4 linked regions of the Drosophila melanogaster genome follow. The protein of the gene in region 3 interacts with the protein of the main gene of each other region in a pairwise test. Each region holds a gene or a part of one and is shown on either strand. Other genes may lie near its edges. The genes, in order: e(r), CG17739, mRpS26 and Pmi.

The links.
Region 1: the proteins of mRpS26 (region 3) and e(r) interact in a two-hybrid assay, tested with the Drosophila melanogaster proteins (one large-scale study listed by BioGRID).
Region 2: the proteins of mRpS26 (region 3) and CG17739 interact in a two-hybrid assay, tested with the Drosophila melanogaster proteins (one large-scale study listed by BioGRID).
Region 4: the proteins of mRpS26 (region 3) and Pmi interact in a two-hybrid assay, tested with the Drosophila melanogaster proteins (one large-scale study listed by BioGRID).

Annotation. Positions count from the first base shown.
Region 1 is NC_004354.4:8,903,626-8,908,275, forward strand, and holds e(r) (enhancer of rudimentary), read right to left. Parts: upstream 2,624-4,650; 5' UTR 2,484-2,623; intron 2,366-2,483; exon of another isoform or gene 2,144-2,365; intron 1,964-2,143; exon of another isoform or gene 1,880-1,963; intron 1,760-1,879; 5' UTR 1,754-1,759; coding exon 1,439-1,753; 3' UTR 519-1,438; downstream 1-518.
Region 2 is NT_033778.4:12,304,982-12,310,928, reverse strand, and holds CG17739 (uncharacterized protein), read right to left. Parts: upstream 4,402-5,947; 5' UTR 4,376-4,401; intron 3,651-4,375; 5' UTR 3,642-3,650; coding exon 3,464-3,641; intron 3,371-3,463; coding exon 2,982-3,370; intron 2,929-2,981; coding exon 2,467-2,928; intron 2,411-2,466; coding exon 2,239-2,410; intron 2,175-2,238; coding exon 2,053-2,174; intron 1,989-2,052; coding exon 690-1,988; 3' UTR 517-689; downstream 1-516. Other genes in the region: CG30203 (uncharacterized protein), read right to left, coding at 39-204; salto, read left to right, coding at 4,831-4,867, 4,931-4,998, 5,058-5,400, 5,458-5,709, 5,804-5,947.
Region 3 is NT_037436.4:18,104,857-18,108,008, forward strand, and holds mRpS26 (mitochondrial ribosomal protein S26), read left to right. Parts: upstream 1-1,722; 5' UTR 1,723-1,805; coding exon 1,806-2,014; intron 2,015-2,110; coding exon 2,111-2,579; 3' UTR 2,580-2,643; downstream 2,644-3,152. Other genes in the region: Polr3D (RNA polymerase III subunit D), read right to left, coding at 3,106-3,152.
Region 4 is NT_037436.4:5,778,277-5,785,219, reverse strand, and holds Pmi (Pmi), read right to left. Parts: upstream 5,170-6,943; 5' UTR 5,110-5,169; coding exon 5,087-5,109; exon of another isoform or gene 4,837-5,086; coding exon 4,688-4,836; intron 4,633-4,687; exon of another isoform or gene 4,631-4,632; coding exon 4,446-4,630; exon of another isoform or gene 4,384-4,445; coding exon 4,223-4,383; coding exon of another isoform or gene 4,219-4,222; exon of another isoform or gene 3,670-4,218; coding exon 3,639-3,669; 3' UTR 3,529-3,638; coding exon of another isoform or gene 3,498-3,528; exon of another isoform or gene 3,390-3,497; coding exon of another isoform or gene 2,912-3,389; intron 2,596-2,911; exon of another isoform or gene 2,550-2,595; coding exon of another isoform or gene 2,371-2,549; intron 2,304-2,370; coding exon of another isoform or gene 1,977-2,303; 3' UTR 1,740-1,976; coding exon of another isoform or gene 765-1,739; 3' UTR 535-764; downstream 1-534. Other genes in the region: Cralbp (cellular retinaldehyde binding protein), read left to right, coding at 765-1,739; PGRP-LD (peptidoglycan recognition protein LD), read right to left, coding at 1,977-2,303, 2,371-2,549, 2,912-3,389; Myt1, read left to right, coding at 5,679-6,633, 6,696-6,841, 6,898-6,943. UniProt on the Drosophila melanogaster protein: Plays a role in mitochondrial morphogenesis.

The sequences.
Region 1 (4,650 bases), on a different chromosome or scaffold from region 3:
TGCAGTGTTTAAAACCAGTTTTGAAAAATATTCTAAAAAAAAAAACTATGCACCATATTCGACGCAGCTGTAGCGCTATTGCATACCCTGTAAAAAGCGCGGAGTTGCGTGGCAAGCAAACTACTTTAAATAGGAGAAATTCTTTTTTTTTTTTTTTTGAAAATATATATACATATTTTTGTAATAAACTGTACAGTTTGCTGTAGCAAATGCTTTTTTCACAAACAAATATATTTGTCTGAATAATGAGAAATCTAGTGATCATTAATATTCAGCAAATATAATGGGTAAACTATAAACACTATGTTTATTGCTAGTTAACGCTAGTAAGCAGCATCCACAAGTCGACACTAAATGTGCATATATACATATATATATATATATATATATATATTTAACAAAATGCTGTCGCGGAGCTAATTAAATATCGCACGCCAAGTTCAATGCAGTGCGGCCAAGCGATTCAGCGGCGGTCCAAGTTCGTTATCCGATTGAATATCTGGCGGGGGTACAACCCACAAACCCCTACCCCTCCCCCCTCACCACACACACAACAACCAGCATCTCAAGGTCATTTCGCATCTGCGACCAAAGGTTCTGTTTTGCTTAAAACAAGCCGTTAAAACGCCACAAAGCCCATCGGTGTGCAAAATCAGCGGGCTAAAAGTTGTTGTTTAACTAAGTTCAAATGATAAAGGGGGGGGGGGGGAATCAGTAGTTTACAAATATGTTTATATATGCTCAGTGTGTCCTGATGTGTTAGTTTATTATTCGATAGATTGCAAAGACTTAAGCTAGCACACACGGCAAAACATACAAAAAAAAAATGCACACTTGCAAATTTGCCATTCGGTTTTACAAACAAACAAACATACAGTTCGCTATCGATAAGAACAACCGTCACCTGTGGCTGCCGCACAAAAAAACATTGAAACACACAAAAACACACACAGTTGTCAGTTGGGTGTATATACAGTATATATATATATATACGCCTATATATATATTTATATATATATATATATATTAGTACGTTTAAAGTAAGTTTTCCATTTCTAAGTTATACAGTTTATCGTTCTCTTTGTGTTCCTTTTCCTTTTTTGCATTGCGTTATGTTGCAAAAAAAAGTTGCTGTCATTTGGCGATCTAGTCGGTAGCAGCAAGTCTCCAATGGAATCGATGCCCCACCACTCCATCATCATCTTCTTCTTCTTCCTCATCTTGTTGGTGTTATTGGTGTTATGGTGTTGTGGCCGTTGCGGATGCTGTTCCAAGCGCTGTTGCATGTATCCTCGTATTGTTGTTGTTGTTGTAGTTGCTATTGCACGCATTGTTGCATACATCAACGTGTTGTTGTCGTTAGTGTTGCACGCATTGATGCATGCATCATCGTGTTATTTGGTTTTATATGTATGTATCTTGTCGCATCGCCGTCCCTTTAGGTATTGGAACTAAATGCCGCCTGACGGAGCAGCACATAGATCTTCTCCTTGATCCAATCCTTATTGTAGGGCGCATAGGTATTGGTGCTCTTCTGGTAAACCATGCAGCTAATGTCCACCATTGTGTCGATGAAATCGAATAGCTGGCTAATGTCATACGTAATGGTCGGAGTGTTTGGATTGCGGCGCTTCAGGTGCTCCTCGTAGATCTTGCACACGCCCTCCATGCACTCGTTGACGCTCTCGTAGTCACAGTAAGTGCGGGTCTCCGGACGAGCACCCGGCTGTACCAATAGGATGGTGTGCGACATGGTGATCTGCAAGGCAAAAATGGAACATTAATGTTATTGGCGGTGATCTATGTACTCAAGCGATATGTATGTATGTATGTTACTAGTGTGCGTTTCATTACATTACGTTTCATCTTCATCACTTACATCCTTTTTTTTAACAAGCGTTTTTTCTATAGCAAAGTCCGAAAGATTCCGAGACTCTCGAAGTTGAAGTTTACTTCGCCAGCTCTGCAAAAATTGTGCATAAATATTTATTAGAAGCATAGAGAGCTGTCAGCAAAAAAAAAAAAGACAAAAAAAAAAGGAAAAGAACAAAAACGAAAGAGATGGAAGAGATATGCTGTTGCCGCATGCAACGCATCGCCCCATCTCGCTCGCGCTCTCGCCGCAACACCAATACACGCGCACCACACATGCTGGCCAGCAGAACGCTCTTTGATTTTCCAATTTGCAACTGGGAAATAGACTAAGATGGCACTTCCAGCATGGAAAACGAGTAATTTGTGTGTGAAGCGAATGTTGGCAATGGAGAAATGCGTACATTTGTACAAGATAATGCACGCTTATGCCGCTTCACTAAAACACAAACATTCGGAAGCGCGAACAGACACGCACACACATGTACAAGGAGTAACGGCCGCCGCGTGTGTGTAACTAACTGTATGCAATCACTTGTTTTTCTTCCTTTTCACCGATTTTTCTCGAATTTTAAATAATTCCCATGTCTCCCGTTTAGTGTTCAACTTACCCGTTCGAACGCCGGACTATATGGACTATGATAATATGCTGATTCAGTAAAGAGATTCGGTAAAATCAGCGCTTGATTCGTTTTTTTTTATTTTGCCAGTTCTATGGGTTTTGAAGAGGAGGCTGAAGCTAGAGATGAGCGCTTCGCTGCGTGCCTCGCCGTGACAAAATAATCGAAAGATATCGATTAATACTAACATCTTTTATTTGATATACATTGTTTAATAATATTTACCAAATTAAATGACAATTGTGATTTTTTATACTTAATTGTATCAATGTATACTTGCATTTCAATTTGTATATGTATTTGATTCCATATTATGTTCATTCACTTTTTTATTGAAAAGCACACTTTATGTATATTACGCCTTTAGGTATAAAGCATGTTTTTCAATGCATATTTTCATTTCATTTGGCGTAATTCATTCCATATTTAGTCTTCAGATTTTTTAAATAAAATTAACTAAAGCTTTTAACATATACTCATCATAGTAATACATTACAATAACTACGGAAATTATTTATTTATTATTTTTATTTTATATATTTATAAAAAAATTATAATTATAATGTCAAATTAAAGTGGATTGCATTATTTATTTAGGTTCATTTTATTTTGTTATTACATATAAATATTAGGTATTACGTTTATTTAAGTTAGAATAAAATTAACGCCCATCAACAAATTATGGTCATTAAAGTCTTTATGAAGTAAACTTAATGTACAATCATTTTCACTTAAAGTGCATATTAAAAAGCATATTTTTACATTTTTTAGTATTGTATTTAATATAAAGTCAAAAGTTACTTTTAATGAAACAAAACTATCGCCCATCGCCAGCTCCGCAGTCTGGCCACTGTTCTCACTGTTCCCAGTGCTGCCAGACAGCGGCAATCGAAGATCCGAGTGCCCACCAGCTGTTTGATCTCAATTGGACCAATTGGAAGAGCGCGGTGTCGCGGGCAGCGCAGTCGAGCGGCGGCAGAGCGATCGGCAAAGAAATCAACAACAAAAAGCAAAATCTCGTCTCAACATTATTTACGTGCTTTTTGTTTTAGTGAAAAGTGAAGGCGCAGCCGCAGCAGCCCGTGTTTCGCGCGTTCCCATTAATTTGTTGTTATTTTCAATTGTGCAAGTGGCGTTCGTGTCTCTCTTTTTTTTTTTTTGTTTTTTCCTGTGTGTTTGTGTGCGTCCTAATTGAAAGAAAATGAAGTGAAAAGAAGCAAACAAATTGGGAAATAGCAACGTAAACAAATCAAATAATGAATGAAGTAGAAGAGCAGCGAAGTTAAATGAAACCCAGGCAGTAAATTGAAAAGCAAAAAAGCCCTGCGAAAATAAGATGATAAAGGCTGTGAAACGGGGAAACCCGTTAAAGTAGCACCGAAAAGGCAATAGTCAAATAAGAAAACACAAAATCCAACCAACGCGACGCACGCGTGTCCAATTTGTCGCCTCTGCTTCGTCTCTCTGCTTCCTCTTCACTGTTCTGCGCACACCGTTGCACGATCATTCATGTGTGGGTGTTGTATCTGTGTTTCTTGTGCATTCTATTTGATTTGTGTTGTTGCTCATCTCTTATCGCTGAAATCTCGAAATCTCAATGTTCTCGGCGACCAATGGCAAAATCAAGGTAAAAAAAAAAACGTCCACTTAATAGTTTTCTTAACTTACCAAATGGTGTCTTGGCTACAGAGAAACTTATGCTTTGAGTTGAAACTGAAATATGTACAATATTACTGTTTCCGTTAGTTTTATTTTAAAATTGATAAGCCATTCTATATTTCTCCTGACTGCGCATTGTTTAAATATTATACTAATTATCGTATCGTATCAATATCTTATCTGATGTTTGCACGAGATTTGTTGCGGTGTATTTGATTTAATATAAAACTATATCAGTAAATGTTTGATATACGTTAAAATACAACAAATATTGTACATTTTTTACAGTTACCTCCGGAAGATGCTGTGCTGGTGACGTCACCGTTGCGCTGCCTCTTCAACGGCCCCTTTCGCGATCTCCACTTCAACGTCACCGATCACCGCATTATTCCCGTCCACGATGTCGTTTTCCTCGACGATTTCGAACGCAACGTGAAGCCTTTGATTTACCGCCCCGTGACGTCAGAGGTCGCTGCCTCTGCCAACGTCGATGAGGAGG
Region 2 (5,947 bases), on a different chromosome or scaffold from region 3:
GTTGAAGTAAAAGCTTCAGGACAACTCGAGACTCTCACCATTGTACTGATGTTCTGGCACATAGGTCTCTGGATTGCCATCGATAAGGATCTTAAAGTTATCATCCACAGGCGATCGAGGGCCACTGGCACCTTGGGGTATCCGATTGCAGACTCCTCTGACTTCGGAAGACAGCAGAATGAGGAGCACGATATGGCGAAGCATCTCTTCTCAATCTTAGCGATCCGTACTGGGTCGAGGCTCAACGGCGACTGACCAAAACTGATGGCTAGCCATCTCCATTAATTGATGAGCATTTCCAATTTATCAATTATCCCTTAAATGGCGCTCTCGGCGTTGACAGCTTATGGCATCTTGATTGAGTTGTCTTCAATTAGGAATGGTTTGTTTTTATGGCAAGCTTTTCAATTGATGAATTGTGCCCGGGTTCTTTGAACTTGCAACCCGGCGAAAAATCACTCGTAAACTGGCCACTGTTTGCTTAATGGAACTGGGTCAAGGTTAAACTCAATCGGAATTGGAATTACCACGCGAACACAATTCTGTTTTATTGTTTTTAATACATATTTAATCTGTTGCGAGAAGAGCTAGTGTAGGTAGTCTGGAATTTTTCATATATTTAACGATATCCATTGGTAATGATTACATAGTTGGATTAGAACTAATACTTGTAGCAGTTAATGGTATGTTCACCACCGCTCTGGATCATCGTTGCTGGTCAGCTGGCAAGGCATCATCACGCACTTTTCCATGCGGACGCGATCCTTGCACTTGTAGCTCAGATCGGTGTTCATTAGGGTTCGGGTTCGTTGGCGAACGGCATTATCGCCACACGTGGCGGTGCATGGTGTCCAGGCGGACCACTCCGAGTAGCGACACTCGTCCTGCGGTTCCGGTTGCGGAGCTCTTACCACATGCCTTCGCTCTCCAAATCCCCGTCCACTGATTGAGTACATGTCATCGCACCGCTGGTAGCAGCGATCCAAACGTACCAGGTGCTTGGGACATGGCTTGCCTCCATACTTCGGAGTACGGAGCACCCGACGCGTTCGCAATTGGAAGCCATCGCCGCAGGAGGCGTTGCAACTGTGGGAAACCCAGTCAGAGACGAGACAATCAATGGCTGGAATGCCATCGTGCTGCAGTTCCTGTTTGTGGCGCGGCAGGCGACATGTCTCCTCGCACTCCTCCTTCGACTTGAATTTGTTGCGATTTGTATCACAACGATCCGACCAATAGATGGCACACTGGTCACTCACATGGTCGTAGTACCAGAAGTTGGCCACATCGTTATCCCGACACGGACTGTCGGTCAGCTCGTCGTAGCAGAAGCCGGGAACAATGGTATCGCAGCTAGGATTGGTGCAGTTCACCTCCTCGTGCAGCTTGATGTGTCGACAGGGATCCTGGCCGTCATCATTGGGATCCGTTACTCCGTACACCTGGTTGTTATTCCACACCTTGCGAATACGTTGCCGCTTTCCATGTCCACCGCATGGCCCCATGCACGGCGAGAAATCCGACCATGGAGTGACCCCGCAAACCGGTGGTATGTAATCCTCCCGATGCTGACTGTAACTCTCGAAGTTGCGGAATATGGAGCGTTTCTCAGCGGATCCACCTCCGTCGCCACCGGCCTGTTCCTCCTCCGGTTCCCCAGCACCACCTTCGTTCTCGATGTCCCCACCGCATTCCATTGCCTCGCAAATCTTGGTCTCATGCAGACGCGCCCTGCTTGCCTTCTGGCACTTCTTCTTGGCCTTCTTGTTTAGATAGTGTCGGGATCGGGTCATTTCGCCGGTTCCACAAGTCACGGTGCACGAAGACCACTCCGACCAGTCAGACAGACCGCACTGGGGATCGTCGCTGCTACCTGGTGATGGCGCCACCTCCGGCTCGCCGCCTTCAGCTGTCTCCTCATTGAAGCCAGCGCACTTGTGTCCCACGCAGTTCTTCTCCTCACGCAGGGCATTGTTGCAACGATGACGCTAAGGTAGGTGTCAAAATGTATATATAGTATGGGATCCAAATTATATATGTCGTCTTAATTACCGAAGCCAATGCAGGGTTCTTGAACTCTCGGATTCTGTATTGCTTGCCGGGACCGCACTTTGTGGTGCATTCATCCCATCTGGACCACGAGTTTGTGGCGCACTCCGGCGGTACCTGTTCCGCTACAGGATTAAAGTATATAGTATGTATATTCACAACATCAATATATGGTTGCATTTAACTTACAATCGGAGGACTCGCAGTTCTTTTCGTAGAGTCGTCTTCGATTGATGTGCAGGGTGGCCAATGGCTTCATCTGGGCACCAGTGGGATCATAAAAGGGCGAACGGGGATCGTTGGGGAAATTTGATTTGATGCGGCGCACAACATCTGGAGGCACCTGTGGCTGGTCAGCGGACTGAAAAGTATTCGTGATTGACTCTACTGAAGACTAAATCATGGAAATCGTCTTACCATATATGATGGACCACTATCGGTGCCCGCATCCCAGGGATATAGGTTGTGCACCTTGTTCTCCACCCAGGAACAGTTGGGCAGACATAGCTCGAGGCCGGATACACCAACGATCCAGTCTGGAGAGGGATCCACCATTGATACGAGGGAGATCAAATGGTGGTTGGAGTCGACGCGAAAAACGGCAAATGTTTTGCCCGTAACATTCGGATAGGCAATGCCCCTTGCCTTGATGATCGTGCGAATGTGTTCGCTCTGATCCTTCAGCTCACTCTCCAAGGTCCTTGTGGAGCCATGCTCCGCCACCTCACGCAGCCCCTCGCTGGCCAGCTCTCCATACTGCCAGAATCTGTAGTCCAGTGTGTGCGAGGCACCAATGATATCGCTGAATCTGGTGCGCCAGCTATTCGCTGGAAAGTCCTTGGGATGTGTGTGACGCGACCACTTGCCTTCGAAGGTAAGCTGAAGTAAGGAGGTGTTAATACCATTTCAATAATGAGTTAAAAGAGTCCCACCTCATATTTGGCCTCGTCACAGGCACAGCACGGATCCACGATGCTGGGCTGGGTGTCAATGTCGTCCACCTCCTCCTCGCACATACGCTTGGTAAGGAAGCCATCATCCATGAACCACACATCTCGATGCTGCATCACCGTAGCCCTCAGCAGGATGCAGCCCTGTCCCGGACTCGATGGAGCCACCCAGAACACATCCACGCGTGTCTTCACGTTCGTGTTGGTATTCTCGACAAGATTTGGGCAGCGCGGACTGAAACGGGTCTCGGCGAGATCGGCGATCTCCCAGGTGCCCAGGGCATTGGCGTCACCATCGCCGTCACCACTCTCCAAATCCAGGGCCAGCATAAAGCTAATGAAGGACAAGCCAGAAAATGCACTGAGGCTAACTGAAAACGAGCAGCGAAAGATTAGAGAATTGAAAGAAAAATCTAGAAATTTGTAAATTTAATTTAATTTAATGCTTAATTTAATGCACTCACCATTATACCTTTGACCGGGCACATAACTCTGCGTATTTCCGTTTACGGACAGCACATAGTTATCATCCACCGGTGACTTGGCTGCTGTGACTCCCGGTGGGACCCTAATGCAGCCCTCGATCCGGGGAATAACACCCACTAATGCGAGAAGAATAGTGAAACCTTCCAGAGCTTTCATTTCAAAGAGCTGCAATGCAAAATTGAGTGGGAATACAAATTTACAATCATTTGATGCAGCCACGTGGTTGTGGGGGAAAAAACTATTTCTGGCCAGCACTTAATTGTCTTAATTATCCGCATTGGTATCGAATGTCAATGGCAACCAATGGAGCCTACTTCCAGTTTCAAACTGAACTTGAATTCGTAGAAATAGCCTTCAATTGAATGACTTTGCGTGATGTCACACATAGTGCATATTGCTATTTTCGCAGACACTTTCCATTTCCTTTGAGATCCAAATTATGCCAGCTCAATTGCCATGCGGAACTTGAACTAGGCGGGTTGTTGGTTGTTTACCCCTTGAAAATCGGATCGCATTGCGTATATACAATATATAGTCTGTACTATATAGACCGTCTACGTCACTGATTAAATTCAATTGAAAAACGCGCCGACTGTCTACAGCGAATTCGAATACAAGGGGGTGACAAACGTCCATTTCCCATGGATCTAAATCATTAAAGTCACTTTTAGGGCTTCTTCACCTCAGTACTGCACTTATATTGTAGCACCCACTTTCACTAGCACATCATGTATGTTAATCCAGTTGATTAAGTTATTTTGAGAAAATAAACTAATAGCAAGGTGGTACAGATTGTTTTTTCATACTCTTGTTACTCAGTATTGATGGATCGTAAATGAAACAATCTCGAAATATATGCTTTTAGAGGGAAATCCGAACTAAGAACTTACTCGGTGGACGCACGAACAGCAACTGAATGCAAATTTCGCCGAGTCGATTATTGGATGGACGATGTGCATCATTCGGGACCGACGAATGGATTACATGGAGAACCTCAGAGAGGGAAAAACTGCTCTCTACTTTTCCCTCCCATTTAGCTTAGTTTCCGCTTCTTTTGCAGATTCGCATTTGTTGATAGAAACCATTAGTTTTCATACGCTCATTCTAAACAAACAGACCCCAAAAACACCGGGTACATTGGAACTGAACAAGTGTGCTCTGAGTTTGAATTCATGTTACTTCCACGAACCACCTCGTTTGGATTGGTCAGAAAGCATTTTTGTACCATTTACACTAGACGTAGTTCAACTGGAAATATTTAGAAACAAATTTTCTATACTATTTTTTCCTCATTTTGAACACAAAAATCGTTTACAAAAAAGCGTTGATTTCCGAAACTTTAGATATGAATTCTTCCAGCGTGACGCCGCGTTCAGTTCGTAGTAAGTACATGTACCTTGAACGCTATACGAATGTGTGCTTCAAATGCTCGTTATCCTTGTTAGGTAACAAAGCATTCTTGCTGAGGACAGCTGGAAAGGCGGAAAAGCAAGCCTCAGACAAAGCTACATGGGTGAGTGAGATAGAAGAAAAGGGTTTAGTTTTTTCAAATGCTTTACATCCCCGTCCCAGTCTCGCACTTCTTCTTGTGGTGGCGTCTTCTCTACTCCTCCCACCCAGAATGGCGACGGAAGCCCAAACAAAGGTAGGCTCAGTCACATTCCAAATAGGCGTGGAGCGAGTCGGTCGTCTATCCATTCGCGAAAAACTTCTCTGGAACGGGTTACTTCTTCGACGAAAGCGCGCCCGTGTGTCAGTACGTATTCGTTGCCCAATCGACGGGTCGAGCCCGAGCATAAAGTAGTTGAGCCCGATCGGAAAACTGATATCGATGAGTTGAATCCCCCCAAGCGGAACGTGGTTCCCATAAAGACGCATGCCCAGTCAGCACAATTGGTTAAGTCAACGACATGCGGTGGGTATCGCGAATATTTGAAACGTGGTCCAATTCTCTGATTATTGCCGTCCACAGAACCTTATCAAAATGTAAAGAAGCCTGAAAAGATGTCGCATCGCCGTGTCCTGGAGATGAACCGGATGCGGGTCTTTGATACGCAGAAAAAAAAACTGGAGAACCTGCAGTCCGAGTTTATGCACAAGATCCGGTTAATGGGTTCGGAGCTCCGGAATCAAGGGGTCTTCAAGTTTGTGGGTCTGACTGTAAACGATGAATGCAAGCTTGTGGTCCACCATGATGATCTACTTCGATTGCCCAAGAGTATTCGTAAGTTCGTTTTGATTTTACGTCTTCGATTGAATGAATTGTTATCCTTGAATTATCCTTCTTTCGCTTACAATTGCATACTTTTATTTTCTAGCCGCCGAAAGTATGAATGACTTGAAAACCAGGTGTCGTGCGATTGTAGATCAGGGGGTTTTGTTAATCTACGACCATATACCAAGAATTCAGAGGGCTAAAAATGATCTCGAGGCTAGTGAAAAGCGTGAGGAAACTCAAAAAA
Region 3 (3,152 bases):
TTAATGAGCGTTGTTGATAAGCCAAACGAGGTTATGTTGGTGGGAAAATAAGTTGTGTAGCGGGAATTTACTGGCTTAAATAAGTTAAGCTCACAATTTGATAGGTAATTTCAAACTATCACAGAAGCTAACCTAAATAGTTGGGAATATTAAGTATTTATATTGAAATAAAGGGAATTAGATTAGTACATTGTCGTTATCATCCAACAACTTTGCATTCTTTCTGTATTAATCTTGTTTAAATCACGTTTTTAGATATAAAATCTTATCTTAAATGCTGGAGAATGTGAAAGTAAACAGATTGAAAAAGTTGCATAAGATAAACATTCCAACGATTAGAGAGCAGTAAACTTTTAATCGTACAGTTAAGGTACACTAATTAAATTATAAGAAAAGAAGATGTGGCATTTTAAGGCACTAAGTTTTAAAAAGGAAAGTCTACATTACCCATTTTAGTTATTTAATTAAAAGAGAACAATAGAACCCCTGTTTCGTGCAGTTCAAGCAATTGAACAAATTCGATATGCAAAATTGATCGCCTTATAAGAATTTCCAGCTACGAAGCGATCCAATTCGATTCGATTCGATTCTGTGCGTGGTAAGCGGTTGGGATACATGAGACACACATATGAGACAATATTTACAGTCCAACCAGTGCGAATTGCCATTCCAATCAGAGGTAAACAAAAATCAAAAGCCAATGTGAAAAAAAATGCCAACAAACCTGTACGAGTTGTTCGCTGCCGCTGCGCTGCTGAAGCTCTGCTCCCGCCGACGTCTGCGTCGAGAACTTCGGCTTTAAAGCTCTCAGATGGAGTTTTTGTTGTTGTTCTTGCTGCTGCTGCCTTTTTGCATGTGCAAATCGAAAGAGAGCGAGAGAGAGAGGGAGCTATGGAGCTGTGGAGCCCACCAATACTCGGGCTTTTTGGACAGGTAAGCGAAACACGTCGCAAAGAGCAGATGAATAAGAAGAAGACGCAGTAATGAATGATCGTCGCTTTAACTTTTCGCTTGCATCGGTATGCGTGTGTGCATTTCTGGGAGTTAACTTTTAACACTTTTAGCCTTGGCAAGAGATATATACAATATGCACTTTCCACACTGCTTCTAACTGACTTAGCTTTTCAATAACGCACACTATTTTTTTAAACACGAACACACACACACTTTCAAGGCGCGCCGGCTGCGCAAGCCACTTTTGTTTTAAGTTAGCCCACGTACAAGAGGCGAAACAGCGAAGTTCCGTAGCTCGGATTTTAATGCGGCCAGCGCGGCGATATATCGTCGACTGAGTGAGCAGTTACTTTTCGTACCTTCCCGTCAAGTTCACCTGGCCAAAAGCTTTTAAGCCCGAGCTGAGCGCAGCGCAATTGTGAGAAACGCACTAGTGCGTTGGAAGTTTGGCTATTTTCACAACAGATCTGTCTGGACTTCAAAGCTTGTATCTTTGGACAAATAAAAAACATTCATAACCTGCGCAATTTAATTGCAAAAACTTGTTAGCAACGCAAAATTAAGCTGTACCTAAAAATATATCTATGTAGCTGAGTATATAATTATATTTTAATATGAATATGTACGACAATAAATTTAGTAAGTTGACAACCAAATTACTATTGCCTTTCTATCTGAATTTGATTTGTTAAGATTGATTTATTCCTTGATTCTTCGATTTTCCATATTGGTCATCACTGACGGAACCAGCAATCGAACTGCGCGGAACCAGTTCACCGACAACAGAGTTGCACAACAGTTCAGCAGCGGCAAAGTAAAAATTACATTTTGTTAATTAAACTGCTTTTATAATGCTGCGAGCGGGATGCCAGCTGCTGACGCAGTCCACCCTGCCCACCGGGAAGACGGTCGGAAATAGTTTCGCCCTCGAGTTCGTCCGCTGGCGCAGGAAACCGCGATGGCTGCCGGTGGCCAAGAGCAAGATGTTCCGCGTGCCTGAACGCAAGAAGCAGTCGGAGGAGGAGCGCACGGAGCTCATGAGGCTACACAACCAGTACAAGTGCGTGCACCAGCGCCAGATTCTGTCTCTGGTCAAAGATAATTTGTAATCGGTTTCAAAAGACGTTATACAAAACAATCTACGCCTTGATTTCAGAACGCAGCTTCGCTCAGTGCGTCAGTTTCTAAGGGAGGAAGTCGTCCGCCACGAGGAAACATCCACAGCAGATCACATCGTGCTCACTCCCGAGCAGGAGGAGGCCGAGTTCCAGAAATGCCTGGATGCCAATGCTGCCTGGAACGCTGCCATAGCCAAGGAGCGTGATCAGCGATTGGCCAAGAAGCGTGAGGAAAAGGTGGCCTATATTCAGGAGCGATTGGAGGCACAACAGCTGCGCGAGGAGGAGCGCAAGGAGCAGGCCAACCAGCGGGTGCTGCTCGAGATTGAGCGTTCCAAGAACTATATCACTAGGGAAAACTTGGATGCAGCCATTGAGACAGCGTTGGCCAATCCCGTGGACCACAATTTCGCCATCGATATGGCCGGTAATCTTTACCACGGACGAAGCACCTCTCAGCTCCCGGACGCCACTCCCGAACCCAACCAGCAAGTTTTGAGTAATTAATTAATGCAGTGTCTTAGTTTGTTGTTACATTAAAATGCTTTTTATAGGTTTCTAACCAAAGTTGAAAGTCCGTGTTTTTTTTTATTTTTCTGCACAATAAACAACACACTTAAGTATATTTGATTTGCGCAAAAGAATAGGAATTGGATAACCTAGCTATTGTAAAGCGATTTGCTAGAACTAGAATACTTTTCAAATTTTAAGACCGTATTTGAAATTATAATAATCACTTAATTTGAACATATAATATATCAACAATCCATTAACCTAAAAATTAATCTTGGGTCATTGCATTAAGTATTGATGGCTTAATTTACGTTACATATCCCCAAGTTCCAAGCCCATCTTTCTTGGAGTCTCTTTTATGTTCCATATTCGAGTACAATTGTTAATAACCTTTTGAAAAGCATTTGTATTATAAAAATTTCTATATTTAACTTTTATATACGGCATTTAGAATAGGAATAACTTAAGCTTAGGCGCAGCCTATTTACTATATTACATATCTACCATGGGGAAGTGGGTGCTACGTGCCCGGTACTGGATTCGTTCGCTTGGATGCCGCATCCTGCT
Region 4 (6,943 bases), about 12 Mb from region 3:
CTTTTTGACCCGCTTTCAGTAAACAGTTTTGAACTTGAACCAATTCGCCTGGTTTCTTTTTCAGTCTTTTTGCCATCCATACATGTTTTATATGCGACCATAATGGCATTTGGTGGTCGCTTTATGGTTCCCCTAACAACAAAGAAGTGAATAAATTATAAGTTTTTTTTTTTATTTCGTCGCTTTCGCAGCTCTGTTTTAACAAAAACGCGTCTCATACGCGAGTTTTAATTAGCAAATATTTGCAAATTACAACGATCCGTGATCCGGTGGCGTTCGCCTTGAGATCACTGGGACCTTGAACCAATTTCAATGGGAAGACCACTAATAAATCTCATTGATAAATACATATATGCAGAATTATTAAACAATAAGTTTCGTCGTTTGCCTAGTGAGTTTTTTTGTTTTGATTAAAGCAAAGGCTTCAAACTTGATATTCGTCACTTTTTATAAAGAAGTTGGAGCCTAACTTGGTTGTAGATTCAGTATATTGAAGCTTTCTATGTAAGTCAAGATGAAAAGTTGTTCTTATTTAATTTAATTATATATTTTACAAGTATGTAAGTAAGTAAATTCAATCTCTTTAAGAACATATACATATATATAGTATAAATATTAATCATACAATGTGGATTTGAGAAAAAACCCGACTAATCCGTGGACTTCTTATCATTCTTTGTAGTGACCGCAGTCCATGCCAATCGCGTGACCACAGAGCAGAACCAACGAATCGCAGATCTTCCAGCGAAGAAGGAAAGCAGAATATGGTGCAGGATCAGGGGGAGACGACAGGCCTGCCAGAGGCGCTGCTGAAGATCGCCAAGCGGGAGCTGCGCGAGGATCGATGCACGCGGGAGCAGTCGCTGGAGCAGCTGCGCAACTGGGTGGCCAAGAACGAGGATCTGCAGAATGTGCGATGCGACGATACCTTCCTGCTGCGCTTCCTGCGCGCCAAGAAGTTCAGTGTGCCGATGGCCGAGCAGACGCTGCTCAAGTACCTGAACATCAGGAGGACGTTCCCGCACATGAGCACCCAGCTGGACTATCTGGAGCCGCGTCTCGGCGACCTCATCGATCAGGGATACATATTTGCGGTGCCACAGCGTGACAAGCACGGTCGCCGCGTGGTGGTCATCAATGCCAAGGGGCTAAATCCGAAGATCCACACAAGCTGCGACCAGGCCAAGGCGCACTTCCTCACCTACGAGTGCTTGATGGAGGATCAGGAAACACAGATCACTGGGCTAACGCATGTGGGCGACTTCGCCGGCGTGACCACGGCGCATGTGACCAACTGGAATCCCACGGAGTTTGCCCGCATCTTCAAGTGGGGTGAGCAATCGCTGCCCATGCGTCACAAGGAGATCCACCTGATCAATGTACCATCCACACTCAAGTGGCTTATTGATTTCGTGAAGAACCGCGTCAGTTCCAAGATGAAGAACCGCCTGATCATCTACGGCAGCGAGAAGGAGCTGATGAAGAGCGTGGACCAGGGCTGTCTGCCGCTGGAAATGGGTGGCAAGGTGCCCATGCGCGAGATGATCGAGCTGTGGAAGCAGGAGCTGGCGACCAAGCGCGACCTGATTCTCGGTCTGGACAAGAGCATACTGCGCTCCGATCGCGGCATCCAGCGGCGCAGCAGCTTCAATGCCGGAAAGGCCTCCACCGGCGGACCCAACTTCGTTTCACAAATCGAGTCCATCGAGGGTAGCTTTCGGAAACTGGAGTTCGACTAACCGATCGCCAGTTGTAGTTTAAGTTTATAGTCCTTAGTCTTAGGCAACATCCAATCAATTAACCCAATGCGCAACGCTTCGCCGGTCCCCCGATCCTGGCCAGCGCCCGATCCTGGGGATCCCTGATTCGCTTATCGGTGGCAACCGCTTTACTCATCCTGCGCTTCTTTGTATACTGTGTTTGTGTTTGGCGTACAATAAACGAGAGGAATAATTTGGAATCATCTCTTTGTTGCTTCACTTGGACGTTTGGTGGCTCGCGTAGTGCGGCCAGTGCCTCAGTTCCCGCTGCAGTGCGTCCGTATAGCTGCCCAACACGAAGAGTTGGTAAATTGGCTGCAGAATCCGACGCTTTAAAGACTCAAGGATCAGAGCCTGGGCGGCCATCAACTGGCAATCGATGGGTGGTCTGCCGCTGAAGTTACCCACAAAGGCCATCACCAACGAGTCTATTCCATTTAGATCCCTTGGATACTGGCTCCGATAGTGCCATCCTTGTGCCTCGAAAACCTGACAATCACCGGCGACCAGAAAGTTGTAGGGCAGCTCCCCCACATGCGACCTCTAAGGAGATGAATGAATTTAGCTTTGATTACAATGTACTACACATACTTATGTCCGATTAACTCACTTCCAGCTTATGCAATACATCCGGGCAATCATCGTGGCATTCATTGCTTCCAGTGTGGGTAAAAATCACTGTGCCGACACCGATCGGATCGAAAAGAGTTCCCCGACCCTGAAGTTCCATATCCGACCATATGCCATGACCCACGATACTGAGTCGATAGCCAAAGTCCGGCGTTTGGGCTGCAAGCAGTGCAAAGTGATTCAGTCATTAAGTGGCTTTGTCCACCTATAAAGGCGAATTTAGAAAAATTTAACAATGAGTCATATGCATGCATACGAAAAATAAAACGAATCTTAAGTTAAACAAAAAAAAAAAATGAGGGATGGCTTTAAAATGTTTTACTATACAAATTTAATGCCAGATACATTATATTATGAGTATAGATCGATTTTTCTTTGAATACTTTCGCCTGCCCATCAAAACGCACATGAGCAGCTTATCATAACTCACAGCTAATTGAGATTTATTTATTATGCATATATGTAACAATAACGATTTGAGCACGTACTCGTGCACGTCCACCATCAGCGGGCAAACTCACTTTGTCTCCAGAGCAAATAGGCGGCCAGTGCCAAGGCGGATGCACACATGACCAGCAGTCCCACCGAGCGCCAATTGAAGCAGTCTTCGTGGAGCGTCGGGTTCCTTCGGCAATTCGAAGGCGTCGTGGAGGAGGCTGAGACTGAGGCTGTGAGGGATGAGGACGTCTTGATGGACCGCTGAGCAGCTGCCAGCAAGGGAGTGGATTCGCTTGCAACGCCTTCCTTGTCCACTCGAATGTGTATATCTTGGCTGGAACCCAGGCTGCCGTACGACGACTGAGAGACGGCGGCCGGCGAGGGACTACGACGTGCTATCGTAGCGAAATATAGAGCAAACAACAAATTATGGAGTTTAGCCAAGATAAAGGCGACCAGATGATTAGTCAAGTGGCACAGTTTGTCCAGGCCACTCTGATCTTGGTGGGCATAGTATTTGCTGATGGCACGCAGACTGTAGGCGCTCACAAAGATCGGCATCTTGCCACTAACTGAGCTGGGATATCCAGCCGAGATGCACGCATTCGTATATCTCACCCATTTAACTATATCTTATCAAGACAAGGGCTTATCTATCGTCGGACTTACCCACTCGCACGGCTATGTGGCTGGAGTCCATGGCTAGACCGCTCTGGCTGCAGCCTCGGCATCAAGGTGGTGCTGTGAGTGGGTCAGCTCCTTACCGGATCGCACTGGAACACACCACTCGATCGATCGGAGTCGCCGCTGTCAACCACTGCCAGCAGAATGCACAAAACGACTGAGACGAGAACAAGGGAGAGAACCAGCCCGCATGAAGCACAACATTTCCATTAAATCATCAGCTACGAATTTCGAAGGGGTCTCTTATCGCACTCACTCTTAGACTCTCTTAGCTATGGAGTAACTTTAAAGCCGGGAGTAACATTCGCATCGCGTTTACTTGACTTTCGTTTGCTGATATCTTCAACTAGACTCTAATAACAATCATAAATGGGTTTCGCTTTATACACAGAGGTTGGCTTTGCTTAATTTACAGTGCAGAGGCTGCTCCTCCCTTAAGACTAACTTGGGCTTGGGGACCGTAATAAGTTATGAGCATGCTAGCCAGTGCAAGTGGCAGCCACGGGAACACTGGACATGGACACTGGTTTATGGGAACATTTAAAAGTTTCACGAAAGACAATACATTGTGTTAAAATCGTTCGAAAATCTAAAAGAAATGCATTCGCCTATGTGCCTAAACTTAACTTATTAGGTATTACGCGTCCGCGAGACAGGGGACAGGCCTAATCCAGCACCTGGACATTTCAGAGCTCCTGCAAATCCCTTACTTGTAGGACCTCCAAATCTGCCAGGCGCACAGGGCAGCCGAGAGCAAGGATACGCTACGGTGCAAGTATTTGGTTTTTGAGTTGGGCGAGTAGCCCAAAATCACAGGCGAGGAGACATCTGTCAGTGGCAGTTTCTCCAACACGGTGTCATTATTTTCCACCTGAAAAACACAACCAAAGTGAGCTTCTCAATCTTGGATATCTAGAACTTTTCCTTTCATACCTGATATTGACAACATGGATCGTAGTTCCAGGAAACCGTGTACAGTCCTGTGCAAAAAATCGAGAGTGCACAAGCGGGAGCTGCAATGATGGGGCGATCCCGCCACAGCAAGCTGGCCACCAGGGAAACCACTCCAGTGGCCACCGCCGTCTTGTGCAGGCAATTGCCCACCCAAATCCAACGACCTGTGGAGATATGAAATTAATACTGTGCTTTAAAAGGAAGCACTTCCAAGTGCTTACCAGTTTCGTCGCCCAGCCGAGGCGGCTCTATAACGATGAAGTCCAACTTGGCTTCCAGCGCCTTGTCCAGCTCAGCCTCGAATCTTTCATGGGCATTGGAGCTGTCGTAGACCTCGCGGATGACATGGAAAGTGGGCACCTTACTCGTGCTGCACAATTAGAACAACAATACACGAATCAATCATGGTTATCTTGATGTGGAACTCAAGGTTAAGGTCAAGATCAAGCGCTCAGAACAACCGAAGCAGAGAAGCCATTGTGCAGACGAGATAAATGAAGAAGCCGCCTAGTAAATTGCATAACCAGGGCAGGTGCACTTGGGAACTGGGATTTGGCTGCACCCAGGTGGAATGTGTTGCGTAATCCCACTGCATTCACGTAACTAGGCGCCGTATTTACCTTTCTATATTTCTGCTAACCATTTTGCTAATAAATTTGTTGTTTTCTATGTTGTTCATAAACTCAGTGCGGCCGCAGCTGGACCGTTAAAATATACCAGGTACCTAAGGGCATAATACTGCAAATAGCAATCTTCCAAAAAAATACCGCAGTTGGGCGGCACTTTTGAATTATATCGTATTCGCAAATACCATTCTCCTTTAAAGAGCGGCCTATATATAAAGGCTTAATTCCACTATTTAGCAATTTATTTGCTTATTTACCTATATTCATAAAGACAATTAGATTAGATTAAAGTTTTTAAAAATATTTCAGTATTTCTATTGTTCTTCCAACTACTCAACTCTCCCATCTCTATTTACGATAATTGAGGCATTTAAGAGGCAAATCATGTAAAATCTGTATACGATTATAGGAGCTTAACTTAATTGAAATCAATAATTATACTCCCAATAAAGATCAAAAATATAAGATACATGTGTTAAATGAATTAGCCGGCTCTTATTGTCCCAAGCGAAGAAGCCAGGATTTCGCCGGCTGTCCGATATGGTCACACTCGCCCACTCATAAGAAAAGACACCCAAAATTGAAAATGGAAAAGCATCATCGCCTGCCCCTCCCGGAATTGCACGACGACAAACACAGACACAAACAGTGCAATGGGGAGAACAGCAATCGCTTCCGGCCGCCCAAGTACAAGACGCGTGGCTACGTCGCCGTGGACAACAACAATCTGAACCGAAGCCAATCGCTGGGCTCCTGTAGCACCAACAGTTCCCAGATCGCGCACGCGATCTCCTTCCGGGACGCCGGATGTTCGGATTCCAGTACGCTGCCCTCGTCACCAGTCCAGGCCGAGCTGAGCACCCTCTCCCTGTCACACTTCGAGCAGTGCTTCGAAAGGCTGGCCAAACTGGGCGAAGGATCCTTCGGCGAGGTATTCCAGGTGCGCGATCGCTCCGACGGCCAGTTATATGCCGTCAAGATCTCCAAGCAACTGTTCCGCGGCGAACAGTACCGCGCAGAGCGGCTGGAAGAGGTGCGGCGCTACGAGGAGTTCTCCGGCCATGAGAACTGCATCCGGTTCATCCGCGCCTGGGAGCAGTACGACCGACTGTACATGCAAATGGAGCTGTGCCGCGAAAGTCTGGAGCAGTACTTGCTGCGCTGCCAAAGGATACCGGAGGAGCGCATCTGGCACATCCTGCTGGATCTGCTGCGGGGTCTCAAGTCGCTGCACGACCGGAATCTCATCCATCTGGACATTAAACTGGACAACGTTCTGATCGGCGAGGACGACGAGACGTGCAAGCTGGCAGACTTTGGACTGGTCATCGATGTGGACAGGGCCAACAGCCATCACGCCACGGAGGGAGATTCGAGGTATATGGCTCCAGAGATCCTGCAGGGTCACTTCTCCAAGGCTGCGGACATCTTCAGTCTGGGCATTGCCATGCTAGAGCTGGCATGCTACATGGATCTTCCTTCCAACGGCCCACTGTGGCACGAACTGAGGCACGGCATTCTGCCCGAGGAGTTCATAAACAGTGAGTTGCGAACTAGCTGCCTACTTAAATGGCAGGTTGCTAAAGCCTTTCTCTTCGCACAGAAATATCACTGGAGCTGCAGTCGGTAATTAAGTCCATGATGAAGCCCGATCCTGCGCAGAGGCCGACGGCCGAGCAGCTACTCTCACATCCCAAGCTGCAGTACCTGCAAAAGAAGCGCAAGTCGCTGATGAACTTCAGCATGCTGGTAAGCATTCCCAAGCACATCTTTGAGAATCAATCTTAACCCTTGACAACTTGCAGTCGCGTAGTTTTAGGCGATCTCGCCGCGCCGTTTGGGGAAGAATGT